Notamacropus eugenii: one gene and its partners. The protein of the gene in region 2 interacts with the protein of the main gene of each other region in a pairwise test. Links are inferred from orthologs where the notes say so. Each region holds a gene or a part of one and is shown on either strand. Other genes may lie near its edges.

Region 1 (7,879 bases), on a different chromosome or scaffold from region 2:
TAATATCCTCTTTATAGATAAGGGAACTGATGCAGAGGGTGACAGTCCCTGGTCACACAGCTAGCTTTTATTAGAGACAGGACAGGAATCCCAGGAGTTCTTCCAACTGGGCTTTTACTTTACACATGTTGTCATGCTGCCTTGCAGTTTGCCCTACTAAAGGGACATGCTTTGACTCAATATAATGAAACCTATACTATGATAAACTAGTTTTATAATAGGATTTTATGGTATTTTTCAGCCCTGTGGGTGATATTCTATTTATATGGAACTGTATGTGAGAAAATGAAGTGCCAGTAAAGTGAAAGAACTTGAATACTCATTGTGTGTCAGGTGGTACAGATATCATTGTCTGACCATTTCACTGTGTGCTTAGGAAGAGAAAATTTATGTGAGAAACCAACACTGGTAGCCTTCCTGAACTGCAGGGCCCTTATGTGACATTAGTGAAATTAAACGCTCTTCCCCAGCTTTTCTTAGCAGTGTACTTTGCATACAAGTGCACTCTTGAGATCTGTTGATTTTTGGAATCTCTCAACCTCTCCTTTTTAGGCCTGTTTTGTTTTCTCTCTTTTAAGGTATATCTACTGTTTCTCCTGCATTCTCCTGTCATTCTCTAGTTGAAACCTTATACAAAAGTCAGCTTTTAGTTATTTATAATTTAGTGTGAATTTAAATCAACTCTCACATATTTTACATTTTAAACTTTATATCTTGTTGTGGAATGAAATCCACATTATTGTGATTTCAGGTGTCAATTGATCAGATGAGGATGGGCAAAGTAATATAAGGAAGGAGTGCTGACTTTTTTTTTGTCTTAGTTCTGATAGAAGCAGTGTGCTCTGGCAAGCCACTGAATTCTTTTGGTCATCAGTTTGTTTTAAATTTAGGGGTGTTCTGAGACAACTCTAAGATCTCTTTCAGCTCTTAAATTTTATCACTCGTTGCATTTTTCTGGTACATCTTAAATTATGTTCGGGAGCTAGCCTATGGATAATTGGCTTTAATGCTAAGAATATAAGTTAGTCATCCTAGATGTTAACTTATATTTGTTGATTCAACTTTTAGCCAGAAGTTCCAGTTTTCAGTTTAAAGACTGCTTTTAAACTTGAGCATGTATAAATAAAAATCTGTTATAAAACAGAACGTATTGATTTTTAGCAGTGTATTTATTCATTCAGGATTTTCCCCAGCTCCTTGTTGTACATGGTTTTGAAATTTTGTTAATCTTTTAGAGATTAGCTCTTTGAATTCTAATGGGAACTCACCAACTTAAAATATAAGGTATTTAATTTAATCTTGATGTGATCTGATCATTTCTAAAACAAGTGCATGTATAAATATATATGTATATATGTATTCTTGTGTCTGATAGAGTATTTTATAGAAATAAACAGCATATTCTTAAAAGAGCTCCATTATTATGTAAACAAATGGCACATCAGATCATAAATTTACAGCTAGAAGGGGTCTGCCAACTCTAGAAGATGAGGAAACTGAGCCTTGGAAGTGGCTTGCTATTGTACACAAATAAGTAGCAGAGTAATAATTTCAACCCAGGTCCTTTGACTTCAAAACTCATATTTGTTCTTAAAGCTTATCTGGTCCGTAGTTAGTGCTTGCTAAAATTTTCTTATTTGCACAGACAGCTCTACAAACTAAGGTAAAATATCTACCACAGTGAGAGGTGGAAAGGAACTTTAGATGAAATTTGTGCTAAGCAGGGATTATTAATCTGGGACCTGTGAACCTGATTTTTAATATTTTGATTAATTTGTTTCAAAATAATTGATCTCCCTCCCTATGTATTTTATTTTTACACATTTCAGAACATTATTCTGAGGACCATAAGCCTCTACAGCTTGTTAATGTGTTCTATGACACAAAAATAGGTTAAGAACCCCTGTTGTAGAGAAAACCAAAGTTCCCGCTTTTCAAAAAAAAAAATCATAGTGATGCTTGAAGCTTCAAGTAAATTCCTAGGGCAGGAAGGTAAAATTATGTGTTAGAACGATATTTTATCCCAAGTGAAAACAAGAACATAGAAAGGAAAAAACTGGTTTAAAGTCAGTCATTGGCAGAAATATATTAAATCACATGCAGAGTCAAATGAAGCAGCCCAGAATTCTCATTCTAACAGAAAGCACTCTATATTATTAGATTCAAGTGGTTGTTTTCTAATTAGGAAAGACTATTTTTCCCTATGTTCTATAAATATTTTGAGGATCACCAAGTAGCTTTTAATGCTTGGTATTCAGTTTAGCTTAGATCACGATTTTTAACATGGTGTTAGGTCATGTAGAAGTGCTCCTTTTTTAAAAAAAGCATTTTCTCTTGAACAAAAAAAACACAGTCCTTGAAATAAGTTTATGGCATTTACATTCTTCAGTTGTTAATTTCAGTATAAAGAGTTGTAACTGTTACTGAAAAAATCAGTGTATTGTACAGTCACAGGAATGTTTACAATTCTACAAGATGTAAGTAAAAGTTCTATCCTTGTGTTACCTCTTAATTTTTTCAGTTAAAATTATTCAGTAGGAAGTGATAATGAGGAAGTATATAATAACAGTATTATGAAAGATGCTAAAAGTGAATATAATTTCACAATTAGTATTTATAAAATGAATTTGTGTTAAAGGTATGTTAGTCCTTTTTGGACTTTTTGACCTTGAAGTGTTTTGTGTGTGTGTGTGTGTGTGTGTGTGTGTGTGTGTGTGTTTAAAGGACTTATCCCCTCTCAAAGATGGGGAAACTGAGGTATATGCATTAATGTGTTCTGGGGGAAGTGTTTTTATTTAGAAGCAAAACTTTTTAATTAGATTTTTAAGTGATGTCTGGCTCAGAACTAAAATATACAAATCATTCAAAAACAGCATAATGGCTTTGTTTCAACATATATAAAAAAGACTAAAATCTGAGTAGTGGATTAAAGAGTTACCAAAGATAGTTAAAAAATAAGTCTCTTACCTTGGCTGCTCAGATAATTGCAAACATGTAGTGCAGTATGCTCTCAGTTGTCTGAAGTCCTCGTGTTTTACTGGCACCTTTTTTTTGAATGTCACTATATTTGTGGAAACAGTTGAAGTAGGTGGAGAAAGAGAAGTTTCAGAGGGAGGACCCATGATGTCATACACTAATTGAGAAGTTGTGATTGGTTATTATATACCTCAACACTGAGATTATCCAATCAAACTCACTGAAACCGTGATTAATACTACTTTAGAACTGCAAAGGTCACCAGCCTTTGATATTTTACTTATTGAAAAAAGCAAATGGTGAACTATAAGGCTGGTTCTTATATAAAAGAGAGTGCCATGTTTGCTCTTGATAGTTTGTTTTGTTTTTGTTCAGAAAGCTTTTAAAGAATCCCCTCCCCTAGATGTTTTTGGTGTATTATAAAATTTTCATATTGTAAAAATTTCAAGTAGTAAGTGATTTATTTACAGAACTTTTCAAGTTGCAGTAATAATAAGGAACTTGATGCTTCTAATTAGATGCATTCCCATTGAGTCACTGGGCCAAAGTGCTATCTCTGTTCAGTTTTATATTTAATTCTGTGATTGTCTAATATTAAAAGTTTAAAAGAATTTTGAATTTTTTTCATTTAAACACAAATTGATACATCCTTAGTACGTGTTCATATGTGCATACATACACACACACGCATACATATACATTCAGTGGTAATCACTTTTTAATTCTTTTTTTTTTTAAAGTTTTTGTAAAAAGGTCATTTATTTGAAAGCTAAGCAAGAACAAAAGCACAAGCCATTGATTTTAACACTCCTGTTCTAACGTGGTCTCTGGAATGAGTAGGCATAGATTTGACTCATTTCTGTTACATAGCATTGGTCTCACCAATGTTCACATGTAAATGCTGCGTTTCTGCTGGATTCTTATTTCAGCTATTTTTAGGCTGGATCCCAAAGGTTATGCCTCTCTAATTTGCTAATGTATATGGAGGGATGTATAGACATATGCTTACTATGTAAATATAGTTTAAATTAAAATTTATTAAAACAGCTAAAGGGTGATTGCTAGCATATGTGTGTTGTGTATGGGTATATATCTCTTCTAGGTAATTAATTTGCTTAAGCATTTTAAAATTTCTGCTTTCAGAAATAAAAACTTAAGTTTAATATTTCTAAGGTACAAAAAGCATTCCAAAATCTTTTTTTAAAAAGTGATGTATTGTTTTAGGGATTTCTTGTTTATTTTTGTTTGTGTTCAGTGTATACTATGGAATTTGTAAAAAAAAAAAAATATAGTACATTTACTCTGCATTTTTATATGCATTGATATTAGTTCTACATAAGCAAATCAAGTAGCCTTTAAAATCTGCAGCTGCTGTTTTATGTGTCCTTAAATGGATATCTTCTGGTATTCCTCCAGAGGAAGATAAGAATCCATATCTGGGAGCATTTTTTCATTCTCCATTTATTTAAAGAACCAGTGAAAACTGATTTTAAAATAATATTTTGGGAGAAAATGTTTTATGGATATAATAAAGTAAAAATGGAATACCTGAAAAGTATACATAAAAATGAATGAAATGAGTAGTTTTTCCTACAGAACTTTAAAAACCTCATATTTCTCTTGTTCTCTTGTGTTTAATACTTTTTCCAAGTGAAAAATGTTGTGTAGCTAAAATTTTAAATCCCATTCATTCCAGAGTACATTTCTGTTACTTTTGTGAACTATTATAGAGCAGAAGATTCAGAGAATGGGAGATTTAAAACAGATTTACAGTATATATTGATATTATGACAAATGGGGAGAGACAGAAGCCAACAGACTCTTGATAACTTTAAAAAATGATGTTTTAAATCTGGATGGTATCTATTAAAATCCGAACATATCTGGATGGATATCTTTTTTATTAGGAAAAGAAAAAATTTGAAGTCATTAAAAAGAAGAAAGTTTGCAATTCTTGGAAAATGGAGTTTGGTGGTAATTTAGTTTGATAAACCAGAAGTTTACTGTATGCTTAATTCTAATATGCTCATTATGTATTTGTTTATTAATTTCCTAGGGATTCAGAAAATTAGCAGAAATAGTATGTAGGAATAACAACGTACAAACGAAGAATTTCTTCTCTTTTGTGTATAAGTATGAAGAGATGCCTGTGTTTGGCCTACTCTTGTCTTAGAGTCTAAGCCTCTTTTTAAAAAACAAGGAGTGCAAACACTTAAGAAATGTCAGTGTGCTTTTGAATGTATTCTGAGCCTTAGAGTTGCTATGTGTTCTAGGCACTATGCTGAACAATAACACACACACACACACACACGCAGAAAGAGTTTGCTTTCAAGGAAATGTAGTAGTCAATAGGATTGAGGGTTTAGCTGGTATTAAAAGTATTCATGGCTGGTATGAGTAGATTCTGAGGAGGAACTTGACCATTAGAACAGGGGGGAGGTTAGAGTTGGAGGAGATTCTGACTGAACCCTCACAATGTGCCAAGCTTTGTGTTAGGTACAGGAGTGGGAGTAGATCCAGGGGAAGGTACTCATCGGAGCATGGTGGACAAATACAGAGTTAGAAGCAGGAGCAAAGGATTGACTGGTCTGGGCCTTGCAGATTGTAGGGGCAGAAGAGATGTGTGTAGAGGGAGAAGATGGGGGAGCATTTTGAGACCAAGCAAATGTGTAGATAAAGGAAAGCTTTGGGTGGAGCTTAGTGTTCTGCCCTCTAGCATTCCTGTTAGAGGGAAGAGGAGGCTGAGATTAATCATTAGAATTGCCTCAGCATTTCAATTTGAAGTTTTTATTCTTTCCAAGTCAACAAGCATATATTTAGCTCCTACTCTATGCCAGGCACTGTGCTATATACCAAGAAAGTTAAAAACAACCCCTGTCCTCAAGGCACTTAGAATAGAATTAGAATAGGCAGTGAGGAAACAAAACTATCACTTTGTGTATGATGTGATGCTATACTAGAGAACCCTAGAGAATCAACTAAGAAACAACTTATCAAAGTTGCAGCATATAAGACATAAATAAGCAGTATTTCTTTATATGACCAATAAAGCCCAGAAGCAAAAGATAAAAAGAGAAATTCCATTTAAAATAACTGTAAACAATATAAAATACTTAGGAACCTACCTGCCAAGACAAACCCAGGAACTATATGAGCACAGTTACAAAACACTTTCCATACAAGTAATGTCAGATCCAAACAATTAGAAAGATAGCAGTTGCTCATGGATACGCTGAACCAATATCATGAAAATGACAGTTCTCTCTAAAATAATTTATTTATTCAGTGCCATTCCAAACTTCCCCAAAATTATTTGATAGAGGTAGAAAAAAAGTAACAAATCATCTGAAAGAACAAAAGGTCAAGAATATCAGTGGAATTAATGAAAAAAATACAAAGGAAGGTAACTTAGCAGTTCCAGATCTCAAACTATATTATAGAGCAGTAATCATCGGAACTATCTGCTACTGGCTAAGAAATAGAGTGGTGGATCAGTGGAATAGATTAGGTTTACGAGACATAGTGGTAAATTACCACAGTAATTAAATGTCTCACAAACCCAAAGACCCCAGCCTCTGGGATAAAAATTCACTATTTGACAAAAACTGCTGGGAAAACTGGAAAACAATAGGGCCCAAACTAGATATAGACCAATATCTCATACCATACTACCAAGATAGGGTCAAAAGGGATACATGATTTAGACATTAAAATAGTCTGCCTGTAAGATCTATAGAGAAGGGAAGAATTTTTGATCAAACGAGATAGAGCATTACAAAATAGAAAAAAAAAGTAATTTTGATTATAATAAATTAAAAATAAACACAAACAAAAACAAAACCAGTGCAACCTAGATTAGAAGGAAACAATCTTTATAGTAAGTATTTCTGATAAAGGCTTCATTTTTCAAATAAAGAGAACTGAGTCCAACTTATAAAGACTACAAGCCATTTTTCCCTATTGATGAATGGTCAAAGGATATGAACAGGCAGTTTTCAGAAGAAACCAAAATTATCTATAGGCAAATGAAGTGCTCTAAATCACTTGATTAGAGAAATGCAAATTAAAGCAACTCTGAGATACCATCTCACATCTATTAGATTGACTAATATGACAAAAAAGGAAAATGATAAATGTTGGAAGGGATGTGGGAAAATTGGGACACTAATGTGCTGTTGGAGTTGTGAACTGATCCAACCATTCTGGAGAGCAATTTGGAACTATGCCCAAAGTGCAACCAAACTCTGCATACTCATGTATTTCTTAAAAGCAAATGTTTTTGAGAATCTTAGAGCTGAAAAAGATTTCATAGGCTAGGTCAAACTCATACCAGAATAAAGATTTCTTCAGTGTGTGAGTCATGCAGTATATTTTTAAAAACATCTACTGAAGGAGAACCCAGTACTTCCCAGATGATCCTATCCTACTTCTAATTAAGATTTTTTTTATATCATCTCTAATTCTGACACTGAATCTTACTTATTATTCCTGTTTTACTTCTTGGAACCAAAACAGAATAAGTCTACTTTTGGAAGACCACTTCACAATCAGATATTTGAAAATAACTGTTATGCTCCTGTTAAGTTTTCTTCTCCAGGCTAAATCTTTCATTTCTTTCAGCTGACCCTCATCTGAATAGAAGCTCCTTGTAAGTGTGGAAATACCATTGTTTGTACTTTATTGCCAGTGTCTAGCACAGTATCTGGCAAAAAGGGAACTGATTCATAAATTGTATGAAATTGGCTTTAAAGACATTTAATCAATATTTATTGATTGTTTTATACAGCCTAATGCCCAGTCCAGAGATGGGGAACTTATGGCCATCAGGCCACATGTGGCCCCATAGGTCCTCAGATGTGGCCTTTTGACTTAATCCAAACTTCACAGAACAAATCCCCTTATA
Region 2 (7,934 bases):
GCTGCCACAGCAGTTATTTGTTTTGAAAAACAAAATATGAAAATCTGCCCTACGTTACCAGAACCTGAAAAGCTGTTTACTTCCCTGTGCATGAATCCTTGTCAGCATAGAATTCTATATCCCAGCCCAGCCAGCAGAGGGTGCCCTAGAGCACCAGAAACTTGACCCAGGACTCCACAGAACTATTGGATTGGAAATGGTTCAATTTAGACATCGAGGAAGGCTCAAAACATTGTCTTTAAGATACACAGAAGTTCACCTAAGCTAAAGTCACTTTGAAAACTGCCTGAAAGTTTCAAAGATTCAAGGAAAATCTGGAAGATGAAGCTGAAATCAGTTTGGCTAACAAGATCCTCTGACTCTGACTGGGGCACTCTAGCTTACTCAGGAGAAAGATAAGGTACTAGCATGCTTGCATCTACAGCCCAAATGTACAAAGAAGGACAATACAATTTCAGGCCTACTAGGAAGGCAGAGGTTTAAAACTTAGGCAGGACAGTATGAAACGTTCTAGGAGAATAGGTATCCCAAATCCCATTAGAGGTCAGTCCTGGCCTCTTTCCCCCAAGAAAGGAAGCCCCAGAGGTCCAGATGTTCTGTTTATCAACAGATTATAAACATGGGACTGTCTATATATTGAATGCCAAAAAGGATACTGAATTCCTTTACCTTTCCATTAGAGTTTAACTGCAAAATATTTCTACTGGGGGAGGAGGGGGGTAGCTTGAAGGGGTGAGGAGAAAGTTATGTAAAGGAGCCCAAATCTCAGATAATTATCATTTTGCCACAGAGTGTAAAGTTTCAAGCTTGCCTGCTTATTCTCTGATCAGTCCTTCTATAGGTTGGAGCCTGCTAGCAAAGCAAGAGAAACCGCAAAGTAACTTTACAATCTAGGCTAGAGAAAGCTTCAGTCTTAAATCTTCAGCAATGTTCAGTTATCCTCAATAGTAATGCCCAACTCTACAGCCCACCTGCACAGGCTGACACTAAGGTACTGAGTTCTTATATTCCAGAGAGAATGCCAGGGTTACCCTTGACCTTCAAGCACCTAATTGACCTCAGTACCTTCTTCTTCCCAAGTAATAAAAACATATGACTGTTCCGTGATCAAGCCAGAAGGCTGTTTCACTGCAATTATTACACTTTACAAACAATTTAATCTCAATTAGAATGGCTCTCAATGTACCCTAAAAGGGTTAACTATAAGAGGAGAAAAAAGTAAGCTTAAAAGTTGACCCATTCAAACCAAACCACCAGAAAGTTCATATACACATAATACAGTCTCTTGTTAGGCTGCCTCAGGCTCCTCTGAGGAGATCTCATTTCTCTAGCATGTGGCTACTGGACATTGCCTCCTCTCCCTGCCCCCCCCCCCCCCATCCTTAGCTTCCAGGGACAGAGGCAACATGCAACAAGGTGGAAGGGGAGTGTTTCCCCAAACTTTTAAAATAGCTTGGAGGTAGTAAGCCCTTCCCAAGGAATGATCGAGCTGGTATGGCTCTCAAATTGCGGGTAAAACCCAAATCATCTCACATGGTTTGACATGGAGTTGGTTAAGAAGTTACTTCCCTGGGGCACACAGCACTCACTTGAGCTGCTGGCAGCTGGCTCCGGCTGGCAGCCTTGTAGCTGCTAAGAGCTAGTAGTTATCCTCAGGCATGAAGCTGACCGGTCCCTCCAAGGGGCCTGCCTCTACTCCCTGGTTAGTTCAATGACTTTGCTTTGCAATTGGCTTAATGAGTTTGCCAGTTACTTTGTAATTGACTTTCCAACTGACTTAGTCACTTTGCCAGATACTCCTTGACTAAAACTTAGGGAATTTCTTCCCCAGGTCCTCTGTGACTGACTTAGTGAGTTACTTTTCCAGTTACTTTGTGACTTGATGAATTACTTTGTGAGCTACTTTGCCAGTTACTTTGTGACTGACTTAGTGAGTTACTTTGTGGCCAACTTTGTAAGTAACTTTGCCAGTTACTTTGTGGCCAACTTTGTAAGTAACTTTGCCAGTTACTTTGTGACTGACTTAGTGAGTTACTTTGTGGCCAACTTTGTAAGTAACTTTGCCAGTTACTTTGTGGCCAACTTTGTAAGTAACTTTGCCAGTTACTTTGTGACCAGCTTTGTGAATTACTTTCAAACTGAATGAGTTTTGCCATTTCCTTAATGACTTAGTTACATTCCCGGTTACTGCGGCAGAAGGTGACAGGCGATCAGTAGGGCAAGGGAGCAGGTGTACCCTTCTTCCCTCCCTCTTTGGGCCGCCCGGCAGGAGGGGTGACTCACCTGCTGCGGGTCCCCAGGGTCGGGAAGAAGCGCCGTGTCCCTAGACTCGGGTTCGGGTGGTGGCAGCTGCTGCTGCTGCTGCTGGAGTTGAGGTGGCAGCTGCCCGCGTTGGCGCCGGCGGCGGACGGCCAAAGAGTCCCGGGAGGCATCAACGGTAGCGTCGGGGGGTCCGGCAGGCGGCCCGGCGGGGGCGGGGGCGCGGCGGGCCTCGGCGGCTAGCTCTCGCCGCAGCTCCGAGCGCAGCTCCAGGTAGCAGCAGAGTGTCAGCAGGTGGAGGGCCAGCGACAGCGCGAAGAAAGCCAGGAAGAGGCGGCAGCTGCTCCAGGCGCCCGCAGAAGCCGAGCCCCCACGACAGCCGCAGCCTCGCTGGCTAGCCCGGCGGCGGCCCGGCCCGATGACCGGCCCGACGATTGGCCCGGGTTCCCCGCGCGCCGCTGCAGGCTCTTGGGCGAAACCCATGGCCTCCGGGGGGCCTCCCGCACTCTCTGGCACGCACGCACGCACGCACGCCCGTCCGTCCGCCCGGGAGGCCCGTGGGCCCCGCGCCGCCGCCGCCGCCGCGTCTGCTGCTTGGGCCGGCACTCTCGGAAGGAGCCCTGTCAGGCGCGTCTACTGAGCGGCCATGGGCCGGGGGGCTCGGGGCACCCGCGGCCGCCGCACCTCGGATGGACACACGCACCGACGGACTGACGGACGGACGGACGGACAGACGGGCGAGGCGGCGGCGGCGGCTGGGCGGGCCGGAGTGGGGAGCAGCCGCGTGTGCGGCCCCACTCCGCGGGCGGGGGGGCGGGCGGAGGGAGGCGGGGGCGCGGCCTGGCCCCGCCCCGTGGCCGCGGAGCGATGGCTCCGCCATCCAATCGGCACGGCCTCCCGGCTCCCGGCGCCCCGCGCCCCGCCCTCCCCAAGACTCCACCCCGGTCCCTCTCTCAGGGGGCGGGGCCGGGCCGCGTGCGGTCCCGCCCCAGACCGCTCGCTCCTCCCTCAGCTTCCCGCTTTTCCCATTCCCGTTGGCGGGAGCGGCTGCCCTTCAGCTCTGGACCCCGCCTCCAGTTAACCCTTGGGCGCCTGCCAGGGGGAGGCTAGCCCAATGAGGGGCGATCTGGAAAGGCGAGTTCTTGTCCTGTGCCCGGTTCCGTCGCGAAGGGGGAGCAGGAGCTGGATCACAACTCGATTCCACTCCACGCCTCATGCCTTCCCCGCTCACAGCAGGGGCCAACTAAGTGCTCGTGGACCTGAACCAGTGGAAAACGAGCTCTGGACGGAGAGAAGTTTGCTCGTCACCTCCCAGTGCCCCCACCTAACCCAGCGCAGCCCTTCTCCGTCTCTCTCCCTTCCAGGGGTTTCACAGACCAAGTAATTAAAACAGTTAGGGCTTTGGAATGAAACCTGCCAGCCAGGGCCGAGGTCCAAGCCGCAGGCAGCTGGCGCACGGACGAAGCCGGGACAGGAATCCCGGGAGCAGCCACGGCCTGGGAGCCCAAGGCGGAGGGGAGGGGGAGAGGGGGGACAGCCACAGACAGAGAAGAAGGGAACACAAGAGACCCAGTCTTGGGGCCCGCCCGAGGGGACTGAGAAGAGGTAGGGGTGGAGGGAGACAGAATCTGACAGAGACAGCGAGAGACAGAAGTTGGGAGCAAGAGAGCCAGTGCTGGGGCCCGCCCGAGGGGACTGAAATAGCCATTCATTCATTCGACAACCACTTAGCGAGATTCTTGCGGGGGGGTGCGGGGGGGGGGGGAGCAGTAGAGTTCCTTTTAATGTGATGTGAGAATGCTGACTTGAGCGACCAGGAAATCTGGGTTTTCGTTCTATCTCTGGCACTAGCTAGCTACGTAAGTAAGCCTGAACGAGTGACTCCCCCCCCCCCCCCCCCCCCCCCCCCCCCCCCGCCTCCCCGTTTCCTCGTTGTAAAGTAAAGTTTGGGCTAAATAAGGCCTCGGAGATCCTCTTCCAACTCGAGCATTTTTGATTCTGGGGTCTTTCCAGAGAGTCACATTCTGTGTTCCATGTTTTATCCTTATGGCTCTGGATTATTTCTCTGGTCTAAAGTCCCACTGAGCTCTATAGTTCAATGACAATCCAATCTTTTCTCCTGAAAAGAGCTAAACTTGTCCCTTCAGGGGACAAAGGGGAGAATTTGATGACCAGGATGGAGCAGATCTTCCCAAAGTGGGGGTGGGGAGGGGAGAGTGGCCTGGGGACTCTGGCATCTTCATTTGCAGGCAGCTGTCCTAGCCTTAATACACCTCCCCACTCACTCCCTGGAGAAATCCCTGGGAGGGAGTTCAACAAGTCAGCCAAGAGTTCCAGATGTGCAGCTGGAGAATACACAGCTGGCAGAATCTTTAACATTACACCAAACACAAGAAGGCAACAAACACACTGAAGTCAGACTTCCCCTTGAGCCCATGAGGGACGGTGGAAAGGACAGATCCAAAGACTCACAGTTTTCTAGGGCTAGAGCTGACTGGGTTGACCTGGAGTGGAAGAGGCAGCTCAGATCATTGAACGAAAGGGTCACGGGGTTAGAGGGAAAAGTTTCCTTAGTACAGTAAAAAGAACTCTGGATTTGCAAATGATGACCCTGAAGCTCAAGTTTTGTCCCTCACACTTACAAGGTGTGTGACTTTGAACAAATCACTGCAACTCTGTGCCTCAGTTTCCTCATCTGTAAATAGGTGGGGCTTAGGTCCTCAGGTACGGTCTTTTGACTGAGTCCAAGTTTTCCAGAACAAGTTCTTTTATGAAGGGGATTTGTTCCCTGAAGCTTGGATTCACTCAAAGGGCCACACTTGAAGACTTAGAGGGCCACATATAGACTTGAGGCCACAGATTCCCCACCCCTAGACGATATAATCTTAAAGGTCCCTCCCAGCTCTTAAATTCTATGATCCTCATGTCCCTTCCTGCCCCCAGATTACAATATACAGGTTTTATTTAATTATAGCCCTGTTACAAATAAGAAAATTGACTCAGCCCATAGCTCCATTTAAAGTGAGAAGGGCCTGGTAAGGTCCCTTCTCACTCTCTCCAGACATTAGTGATTGTCTTTAATGCCTGAAAATGTCTGTCAAGTTGGTTTATCCTAACTAACCCATTCACAGAACTTAAAGCTGAAAGGGCCTTAGGAGCTCAGAGACTTCTGGGGCTTGTCACCTTTTTGGCTTCTGTGGAGAAAATCCATTCACATTTGAGTTCTAGATAGGGATGGCCTTTGGCAGTCAGATGAAGAAGATTATGAATCCCTTCTCAGGAGGGTTTAAATCACATACATAGGAATGCAAAGGAAACAAATTCTATTGAAATACCATTAGCAATGTATTTTTTAAAAAGTTTCTATACCCCAGCTTAAGAACTCTTAGATAATCAAGTCTGTTCATTTTCCAGATGGGGAAACTACCACACAGGGAGGATACTGACTTGCCAAAGGTCACATAACTTGCTAGTTCTGGATTGTCCTGACTTGCTAATACAGTGGAGTATGGTGGTTGGATCTGGAGGTTGATCTGGAGGTTGATCTAGTGGTTGATCTGGGTGGGATATCCCATGGAATATGGATGCATTTCAGACTCAGAAAGGATTCTAGAGCATTTGCATAGGAAAGGCCCCTCCAAGGAACCTGTGAAGAGGTAAAAGGATACCTCTTGTTATCTGAAGAGGAAATGGAAGCAAATGGCAGCCATTTCTTAACATTGTAGCCCAGGGACCCTCCAACTCTCCAAATGTCATGCTGTGCATTAGCATTATCAGGGTCCTACAACTATTGGTTTCTGGGGTCCTGTCACCTCAAATCCAGACATGCTCAAGAAATTAGGGAAGGGTTCAGAACTCAAGACTGGAGACTTTCTCCAGAGACAGCCACAACACAGGAGAACACAGATATGCAGGAAATAACACTGAAATCCAGGCAACTCTTCAGAGCTGCCCTCAACTTTCACAAGGTGCCTGCCCTCACACAGAGAGACAGAGAGGGACACCGACATGGTGGGGGAAGGAATGGAGGTATCCTTACAACAACTGGCAACAGCAAATGTCTTTCTGCCCCCCTCTCCCAGGTCAAATGCCCTATTCCCCTGATTGTTGAAACCCAGACAAGGGCAGGGTGGAAGGAAGAAGTACAACTGAGCTTTTGCCTACAAGCATTCCACAGAGATCTAGAAAACTCAAAAGGCCAAGTCCTACTTAAGGATTTTTTTAAAACCATAATGAATTATTCATCATGCCCAGGTCCGCATAGGGAGACGCACAGGGAGGTCTTCAGACACTGGGGGATGGGTTGAGCTTTCCTTCAAGGGGACTGAATAAAGAGCTGCCTGCTACTGTGAGCTAGGGTAAGAAATCTTAGATCCATCACAGAGAGCCCAGAACCCCTGATCATGTTCAGGGAGCAGAAACAGATGCAGAGTAGCAGCCTTGTCACTCATTTCCCACTACTGGATCACAAATTTAGTGCAGACTGCACCTAGGAGTATAGGGCAGCTTGGTTGCACAGAAGTTAGAGCACCGGGCCTGGAGTCAGGAAGACTTGAGTTCATATCCAACCTCAGACATTTACAAGCTGTGTGACCCTGGACTTAACTTCTATTTAAACACTTAGCCTCTGTTCGCCTCCGTTTCTCCAACTAAAAAATGGTGCTAAGAATAGCACCACTGAAGTCCTTGCTCAAGCTGAACTGCCAAATATTCAAACCATGCTTCAGAGAGTGCAACTCTGATGGGCTGGCCACGTTGTTCAAATGCAAAATGTATGTTTGCCAAAAAAGACTTTTATAGAGAGCTTGCACGGGGCAGGTGATCACGTGGTGGCCAGAAGAAACAATACAAGGGCACTCTCAAGGTCTCTCTCAAGAACTTTGTATTTGACTGTGCAACATGGGAGACACTGGCACAGGACCGCTCGGCATGAAGTGCCCACGTCAGAAAGGGTGCTGTGCTCTTTGAGCAAAGCAGAATTGAGATAGCACGAAGTAAATGTAGGATGCTCCAATTTGGGATATCCACCCCAAATATTTATACGGACTATCTGTGCCCAGCCTGTGGTAGAGCATTCCGAGCTTGTACAGGTCTGATCAGCCACAGCTGGACGCACAGAAATTTCACTTTACAGTGGTGATGTCACTTTGGTCCTCTTCGAAGATGAAGGACAACAACCAACCTGAAAGAATTGTTTTGAGAATCAAACGAGATAATATTTGGAAAATGATTAGCATATTACCTGCCACACAGCAGGTGCTATATAAGTGCTTATTCCCTTTCCTACTCCCTTTCCTAGGTGTTGAGGACCAGGGCAAAAAGTCGTTGTGGGCCCTGGGCATGTGCTCAGAGAGGACCAAGTACAGAAGCAAGCAAAAACTTTGCGACGGACCCCAGGAGCAAAGCAGGGTCTGAGATCCAGTCCTATGCACAGTCAAAGCCTACAGTAGAATAACCTGGGCAGGAAACCTGGTCCAAAAGAGAGCCTACAGTTCTGCAACTCTCAGCTGGCACAGCATTTCAGCTGGCTGATGATGGCTAAGTCCAGCAGTAGTCTCCTGGAGCTCCAACCAATGACAAGCCCATACTTATGTTGTTTGGACTCAAAACTCAGGTTAGAAACTTGCAGAGCACAGAATATGAGGGCAATATGCCCTGGATCAAAATGCTTCAGG
Region 3 (7,815 bases), on a different chromosome or scaffold from region 2:
AAAAAAACCATTATAACCGCAGAGTCAATTGTAATAGGGGAATCATGTTGGTTTTATCTTTTTTTGGTTCAGACGTGTAATTTCAATTCTTTGGGGAATTCCCAGTATAGAAAATTCTACCAAGATAGCTCAGCATCTGTCCATAACTTATAACTGAGAAATTGGCATTGAGAGCTCAATCTATGTTAGTACAGCTAATATGTGTCAAGAAATGGACTAGAACCTGTGTGTTCCTTACTCTAAGGCTAATTATCTATCCATATTTCATGCTTCCTGTCACTGGTTCTATATCTCTTGGAAATACCTCCTTTGGTCATTCAGGAAACATGATTTTTCTTTTAAACTTCTTAGAATTAGGGAACGAGACTAGACCCTGTCATGCAGGTCAGCACCTTTGCTACAAATTTTAGTCTCTCAAGAATGTTGCCTATAAATCTGAGAGGTTAAGTGTCTTGTTCAGGTTCACAAAGCCAGCATGTATCAGAGGTGGGATTTTAACCCAGGCCTTTCTAGCTCCTAAGGCCAGCTCTCTACTATACCACTTTGCCACCCAATCTAGAATTAAATTTTAAAATGTGTCCTACAATACTGGCCTCTCTGGAAGCCATACGAAGAGGGGAAAAAAAGAGGTTGGGAACAATATTTTTATAAAAGCTTCCTGGATCAATGCATGGGTTGAATAATGTGTCTTACTGTCATCTAAAGATTATCCATCCTAGCTAAATTTAAAGGGGCTCACCACCAGGAGGCTGGCCATCAAAGTGATACGATTCTCTGACAACAGCAACTCACTTAAACTTCTACTAAGGTGTGGAGAGCTTGTGATTTATATTGGTAAAGGAAGTACCCACATGGGTCACTGAAATATAATATAAATGATAGAAATTTATCTTTCCAGTCTAAAAACCAATTTTCAGAATTCTCAAATTAAGGAAATCTGAAATATATCTAAAAAGTCTGTATTTGGTTCCTAAGGGCTGATACTTAGAAAGACAAAGAATCAGATATTACTATCTCTTCCCCTCACTGAGCTTTCTGTACAAGAAGCACTCCCAAATTCATTGCTCAAAAATAATTAGAAGAATATTAACAATAGCTGACATCTATACAGTGAGTTTAAGGCTGCAATACATTTTATATACATTAAATTATTTGTACCTCAGAACTTTGTGAAGCAGGTATCACAAGAATTATTATCTCCCATTTTAGAAATGAGAAACCTATGACTCAGAGAGATCAAATGACTTTAACCATGGTCATACAACTATTAAGTGTTTGAGACAGGATTCAATCCCATGTCTTCCTGACCCCAACTCTAGCATCCACTCCACAACTCCACACTGTCTATCCTATTAGTAAAATATAGGTGTACCTTACATAAGTGTTTTACAAAAGAAACCCCAAATCTCCTAGCTTCTAAGCCCAAAATAAAACACTCTACGTGACATATCACACATAAAGTCATAGAAACATGGACCCAAAGCTGGAAGAGACTCAGAGGCCATCTAGTCTATATCCTTATTTTACAGATGGGGAAAATGAGACCCAGAAAGGTTAAGTGACTTGCTTAGGCTAGACACAGTCAGCCATTTAAACACAGGACTTTGGATGCTAAAGTTATGGGATACAAAAATTATCTTCCCTAGAGACATTCATCCGGCTGAATACTTTAGGTAAGTCTGCTTGAGAGCTGAGTTTCTTCAGTTCTATAAACTAAGATGCAAAACTGGGATACAGATATACAACTCTGATGATGTAATTTTTTTTTTTTTAACAGACATCCCACAGGGACAATAAATAAAAGACGTCTACTGATTCTCATGAGTCCAACGACAGAGGCATAAACTGAGATTCAAGCTTAGCAACAAAAACCTTTTAAACAGCAGTTCTATTTTTGTTTACAGTATATATACACACAGCTTGGCTTTTTGCAAATGCATTAGCTAAAGAATAAAAGGGATATAAGAAAAACACCAACAATTAACTGATTTCTACTCAATCTCTGGGTTGCTTTCCCAAGAGAAAATTTCTGAACAGGATAAATTTAGAGCTGGAAGGGACTTCAGAAGTCATCTAGTTTAATGGTATCTTCTTGATTTATATATACATCTCTCAAGGAACTCAAAGTAACTGACATCTCAATTCTTTTCACCTATAAGACCTTGTTATGAAAATCTCTAATGGTGAACTAATTGCCTTTTTATTATACTTGGGAGAAACTTTAGAATTAGTACAATAATTTATCTAAAGGACTCAGTGACTCAAAAGCTACCAGAAATACAACCTAGGGTTTTCAACTTTTAGTCTAAAAACCTAGACATTTTAAGAAGGAGTTGCAGTATTTTTCCTGAAAGGGGGCTTATCTTGAACAAGGAGAATGGAGAGCTGACTCTAATACAGACCACAAGCTACTCTATGACTAGAAATACATTCTATTGAGTCAGTGGTATTTACTTCTAGGTTTCTTATATGAGTCTGATAGGTAGCTCATTAGGCAACTAGGTGGTGGAGTAGATAGAGCTCTGTACCTGGAGTCAGGAATACCTGAGCTCAACAATCCAGTCTCAGACACTTATTAGCTGTGTGACCTTGGGCATGTCATTTAACCCTATTTGCCTGTTTCCTCATCTGTAAAATGAGCTGGAGAAGGAAATGGCAAGCCACTCCAGTATCTTTGCCAAGAAAACCCTACATGGTGTCCTAAAGAGTTGGATACAACTCAAACGACTAAACAAGGTAGTTCAGTGGTAACTCTCTTACCTATTTTTAATAAAATAGCATGCCTTGATCTACAAGGAAACTTTGAGGTGTCTGAAGCACAACTTTAACACCAAGGCTCTGCAATAGTTATGAAACATCAACAAAGAGGATGAAGGAATCTTGATCTTGACTACTGTAACATCACACAAAAAAACTAAAGAGGGTAAGACAACTGCCACAAAGTCTCTGACATAAATCCTGCACAGAGGGCTGTGCAAGAGAAGGTTCCATGGCTAAACTTCCCCTTTTATGCACTTCCACATTCTGATTTGTATTACAATTATCTGAGTATAAGTCAGCTTCCTTGATTATTTCGTCCTCAGATTTTTCATAGAACTCAATATGGACCTCTCCTTTGCACTTATTAAATACACTATGTATTATCTACTACTAAACTAAACTTTCTAGAGGCAGGAACTATGCCATTCTTTTCATCTTTTTTACCTCTAGAGCTTGGCATAGCACCTTGAACATAGAAAGTACTGACACCCCCAAGAGGATATGAATCAAGAGCTGTAGAAGGAAAAATCTATATCAGGGATGCAACAAAACGGCCAAAAGATCCATGATCTCGTAAGAATGAGAACTTCCACCTTCAGTAAAGATTCCTGGGTATGGTGATCTACTCAGGAAGACCTTAAACTCTTTCTTAGCTGTATGTCCTTGGGCAGATCATTTCACCTAATCTATAAAATGAACGGACTGGACCTTCGACAGGCCCCTTCAAGCTCTTGATCTATGATCTCAAACCCCTCCTCTCTTTCCAGCACAACATGATGAATGGGTTTTCTGAGTTGCAATAGCTGAAAAAAAAAATTCATCCCCTGGTAGCCAAACCTTTCTGAACTTAGTGAGGGCGGTACTCTGATAGCAGTCTTACCGCAGTCCAGCAGGGTTCACAGATCGTGACCTAAACGCTACCTCCTTCTACAGACGAGGAAACTGAGTCTCAGGATGGCTACATGACTTAAGGTCACACAGTAAGCCTTCTCTGGCCGGACAGGCGCTTCTTTGTACAATGTCAGTTCCAGTCTGGCGGCCCCTTTCAGTTCTACAGGAATTAAAACCACCAAGAGAAACATTCCAGCGCCTTCTATGGAGGAATCAGCCACACTCATGGGGTCAAAGATCCATCTACCTGTCTTTGAGCCGAGTTCCTGAATAAATGTCCCTCTCTTAAAACCCTTCCCCAGGGCTGAAGAGCCTCCCCCGGCCAAGGGAGCCTTGCACGGAACACGTGGGTTCAATCTTTCTGCACTTAACGCCAGTTAAGATGAATCTCCTCTCCCCGGCCTTGCACAAAACAGCGTCTCAGACAAGTCTGCAGAACTAATGAATGAATCTGCCGACGCCTGCCGCTCCTGCTCGGCCGCGGAGAGGGCGGCTCCCCACTACAGGCCTGCCCCAGCGCGCCGAGCGGGGGAGGCAGGGGCGGGGGCGGTTCCAGGAGCAGGCCACGCCCCCCGCGGGAGGGGCAGCCCCAGCCTGCGGGAGTCCGGGGACTGCAGCACCAGCGCGGGGAAAGGGGAGGAGGGATCTGGCGTGCGCGCTCACACACCAAGGGAGGAGGGGCTGCTCGCGCCTCGGCCGCCCCACTCCCCCGCCTCCTAGTGCCCCTCCGCGCGCTGGGGGCCTCGTGCCTGGGACGGGGGCCGGTTGGAAAGTAACCGACTCGTCGCCCGCCAACCTGGCCCCACCGTCGCTGCCCTCGGCGCCGGTTCCTCCACTCCCTCTATATTCGGCCTCTCTCCGCCTCCCGCCCTCCATTCACCCCTGCTCCCTCTCCCCACACTCCCCCTCCAGCCAGCATCAAGAATTCCCGGCCCGTACCTCACACAGAGCCCGCCGGCGGCAGCCGCCATCTTCGCGTCCCCCCCACGTGACCGCGCGGTAGCCCGCGCGCTGGGCCGCCTGCCTCACGTGATCGCGTAGGGGCGTGACCGAAGAGTCAAATGGAAGGAGTCGAACGGTTGGACCAGCCTCCGCTGTTTAGGCTGGCCAGGCGTCTGTCACGTGACCTTCCGGGCTTAAGATGGCGGCTCCCAGGGAGGTGAAAGCCCTCGTTTGAGGGCAGAAGACCGAGTGGGTGAGGGCCAGGTAGTGCTGGAGCTGGATCTCTGACAAGGAGGTGGGAAAAGGGAAGGTGTGCCGGCTTCGCGGCTGCTGCCGGCGAGGTGGCACCCTACATCATCTCCCCGAGTCCTGAAAGGGGATGGAGAGGGGACAGTGAGTCTCCAGCCTACTGTGGACACTGGGGTCCCTGACACGTGCCCTCCCTCGGGGCTGTCTGACGCAGCGCGCTCTCCCCAAGCAGCTGCCAGCCCGTCGCCCTTTTTTTCTTTGTGGCAAACCCTCAGGCTTCTTCTGACCTTTTCATCCATGATCCAGAGCCCCCCCCACTGTGGAAGGGAAACGTGGCAGCGCCCATCCAAGCTGAGGGTGGTCGAATGGCTGCAGCCATGACGAGCAGAGCCGCGCTGGGGGAAGCCGCCATTGTGTTCGCGGTGGTGCTGAGCATCCATGCCTCGGTGTGGGACCGCTACTCCTGGTGTGCCGTGGCCCTGGCTGTGCAGGCCTTCTACGTCCAGTACAAGTGGGACCGGCTGCTCCAGCAGGGGGCTGCGGTCTTCCAGTTCCGGACCACAGCTAACAGCGGCCTGCTTCCGGCCTCCATGGTCATCCCTCTGCTGGGGGTGGTGATGAAGAGGCGCTGCGAGGGTGTGGGAAACGTCTACTTCGAGCGCTTCGGCGTTGTGGTGGCAGCCACCGGAATGGCACTGGCGCTTTTCCTGTCCGTGTTGGCACTGGGCATCACCAGGCCAGTGCCCACCAACACCTGTGTCATCTCTGGTCTGGCTGGGAGTGTCATCATCTACATCATGAAACACTCGTTGAGTGTGGCAGAGGTGATTGAGGTCCTCGAGGTCCTGCTGATCTTTGTCTACCTCAACATGATCCTACTGTATCTGCTACCCCGGTGCTTCACCCCAGGGGAGGCATTGCTTATCCTAGGGGGCATCAGCTTTGTCCTCAACCAGCTCATTAAGCGATCCCTAAATGTTATCCAAGGCCGAGGAGACCCTGTAGACTTCTTTCTCCTGGTGGTAGTAGTAGGGATGGTTATCATGGGTATCTTCTTCAGCACATTCTTTGTCTTCATGGACTCTGGAACCTGGACATCTTCTCTTTTCTTTCATCTAATGACAGGTGTGCTGGGCCTTGGTGTCGTCATGCCCTGGTTGTACCACCTAATCCGGGAGAACCCCTTGCTCTGGCTTTTCCAATTCCTATTCCAGTCAGAAACTCGTATCTACCTCCTGATCTACTGGTCTCTGCTGGCTGCTTCAGCCTGCTTAGTTGTGATGTACCAAAATGCTAAGAGATTATCTTCTGAGTCAAAGAAACATCAGGCCCCCACAATTACCCGGAAGTATTTCCACATCATCGTAGTGGCTACTTATATACCAGGACTTATATATGACCGACTCTTACTGTATGTTGCAGCTGTGGTCTGCCTAGCTGTCTTTATCTTCCTTGAGTATATTCGCTTCTTCCGAATTAAGCCCCTGGGCCAGACTCTGAGAAACCTGCTCTCCCTCTTCCTTGATGAAAGAGACAGTGGCCCCCTCATCCTGACTCACATTTACCTGCTGCTGGGCATGTCTCTCCCTGTTTGGCTATTCCCAAGACCTTGTGCCCCAAAGGGTAGCGTGGAAGGAGTTGGGGCTCTGGTCCCTTATGCAGGAGTGCTGGCTGTGGGAGTAGGTGACACCATTGCTGCCATTTTTGGCAGTACAGTGGGGGAGATCCATTGGCCAGGAACTCTGAAGACTTTTGAAGGGACAATGACTTCCATATTTGCTCAAATCATTTCTGTGGCTTTGATCTTAATCTTTGATAGTAGGGTAGACCTTAACTCCAGCTATGCTTGGATTTTGGGGTCTCTCAGCATAGTCTCCCTCCTGGAAGCCTACACTACTCAAATAGATAATCTTATCTTACCTCTCTACCTCCAGATTCTGCTGATGGCTTAGCCTTCATGCAAGGATCACAGGAGGAAGTAAGTTAAAGAGAGACATATGGCCCATAGTCAGCATTTAGCCATTTGGGTATGATAGGTCAGGTAGTGAAAAGCTGATTCACTTTTGCAGTAAATTGAGATTTAAAATAAAATCAAAGCTGCCCTTGCATTTTAGCTCTGTTGATTTGAAAATAAGGTAACATTTCAGATGAAGGAATTGGAAGGACATACCAGTGAGGGTTTCCAGTGGAAGTGCATTTTTTTAACACTTAATTTTTATTTCATTTTTCTCAGTTATGTGGAAGCACATTCTTCACGGTGATAGAGCCCATTTAGACAGCGGAAGATGTGTTTTGAGAAATCAAAATCCAGCCTTGAAAAATAGCTTCTCATGGTGAATAATTAATTTATATCTAATAATTTAGAGAATTGTGAAAACTGGATTTTGTTTACTAGGCTTGATTTTGTAGAAGAGAGTGAAAGGAGAAGCTTTTTGTAACATTTATGAGAATGTTTTAACTGGGTAAAGGGGGAGAAGAGTGCAAAAGAGTGAATGAGGAAATAGTGGAGCTAATGCCATTTATTTTTTCTAAGTGGGCCATAGTGTGCCATGTCAGAACTGGATTAGTATAGGTGGTTACTTGGAAATTAGGAGCCCCTAGGGGTGGAAGTGGGTAACAGAGGAACTAAGAGAAGATACTAGAATAGATATTGAGGGTCAATTGTGGAGAATGTGAGAAATCGGGGAGTACTCTATATCAGAGATCCAAATCACAGGGCTGCATGCAACCCAAAATACTCCTGAGTACCGCCTGAACCAGATGAAAATATAATTGGGAAATATTTAACAAAATAAATAAAAATGCAATAAAACATAGATGATGTTAAAGCATGATTTTCTAAGTCAATATGCAACCCACAGGGATCCTTATGTACAGTTTAGTGGTCCTTGTTTCTATTTGATTTTTGACACCAGTGTTCTAGAGCTGTGCTTCCTGACCTAAATGATCATTGTGAATCATAAACATTGGGAA

Evidence for each region.
Region 1: the proteins of EDA (region 2) and PLN interact in binary tests that used the Homo sapiens proteins (3 or more experiments, as listed by UniProt). The link is inferred for Notamacropus eugenii from reciprocal best matches to the Homo sapiens genes EDA and PLN.
Region 3: the proteins of EDA (region 2) and DOLK interact in binary tests that used the Homo sapiens proteins (3 or more experiments, as listed by UniProt). The two-hybrid records come from large-scale screens. The link is inferred for Notamacropus eugenii from reciprocal best matches to the Homo sapiens genes EDA and DOLK.

The regions. Positions count from the first base shown.
Region 1 is NC_092873.1:200,445,063-200,452,941, reverse strand, and holds the start of PLN (phospholamban), read right to left. Parts: upstream 3,073-7,879; 5' UTR 2,968-3,072; intron 1-2,967. UniProt on the Homo sapiens protein: Reversibly inhibits the activity of ATP2A2/SERCA2 in cardiac sarcoplasmic reticulum by decreasing the apparent affinity of the ATPase for Ca(2+).
Region 2 is NC_092879.1:100,925,751-100,933,684, forward strand, and holds the start of EDA (ectodysplasin-A), read right to left. Parts: upstream 3,065-7,934; 5' UTR 2,743-3,064; coding exon 2,284-2,742; intron 1-2,283. UniProt on the Homo sapiens protein: Cytokine which is involved in epithelial-mesenchymal signaling during morphogenesis of ectodermal organs. Functions as a ligand activating the DEATH-domain containing receptors EDAR and EDA2R. May also play a role in cell adhesion.
Region 3 is NC_092872.1:480,252,988-480,260,802, reverse strand, and holds DOLK (dolichol kinase), read left to right. Parts: upstream 1-4,743; 5' UTR 4,744-5,207; coding exon 5,208-6,794; 3' UTR 6,795-7,658; downstream 7,659-7,815. Other genes in the region: nucleoporin NUP188, read right to left, coding at 4,591-4,622. UniProt on the Homo sapiens protein: Catalyzes CTP-mediated phosphorylation of dolichol, the terminal step in de novo dolichyl monophosphate (Dol-P) biosynthesis. Dol-P is a lipid carrier essential for the synthesis of N-linked and O-linked oligosaccharides and for GPI anchors.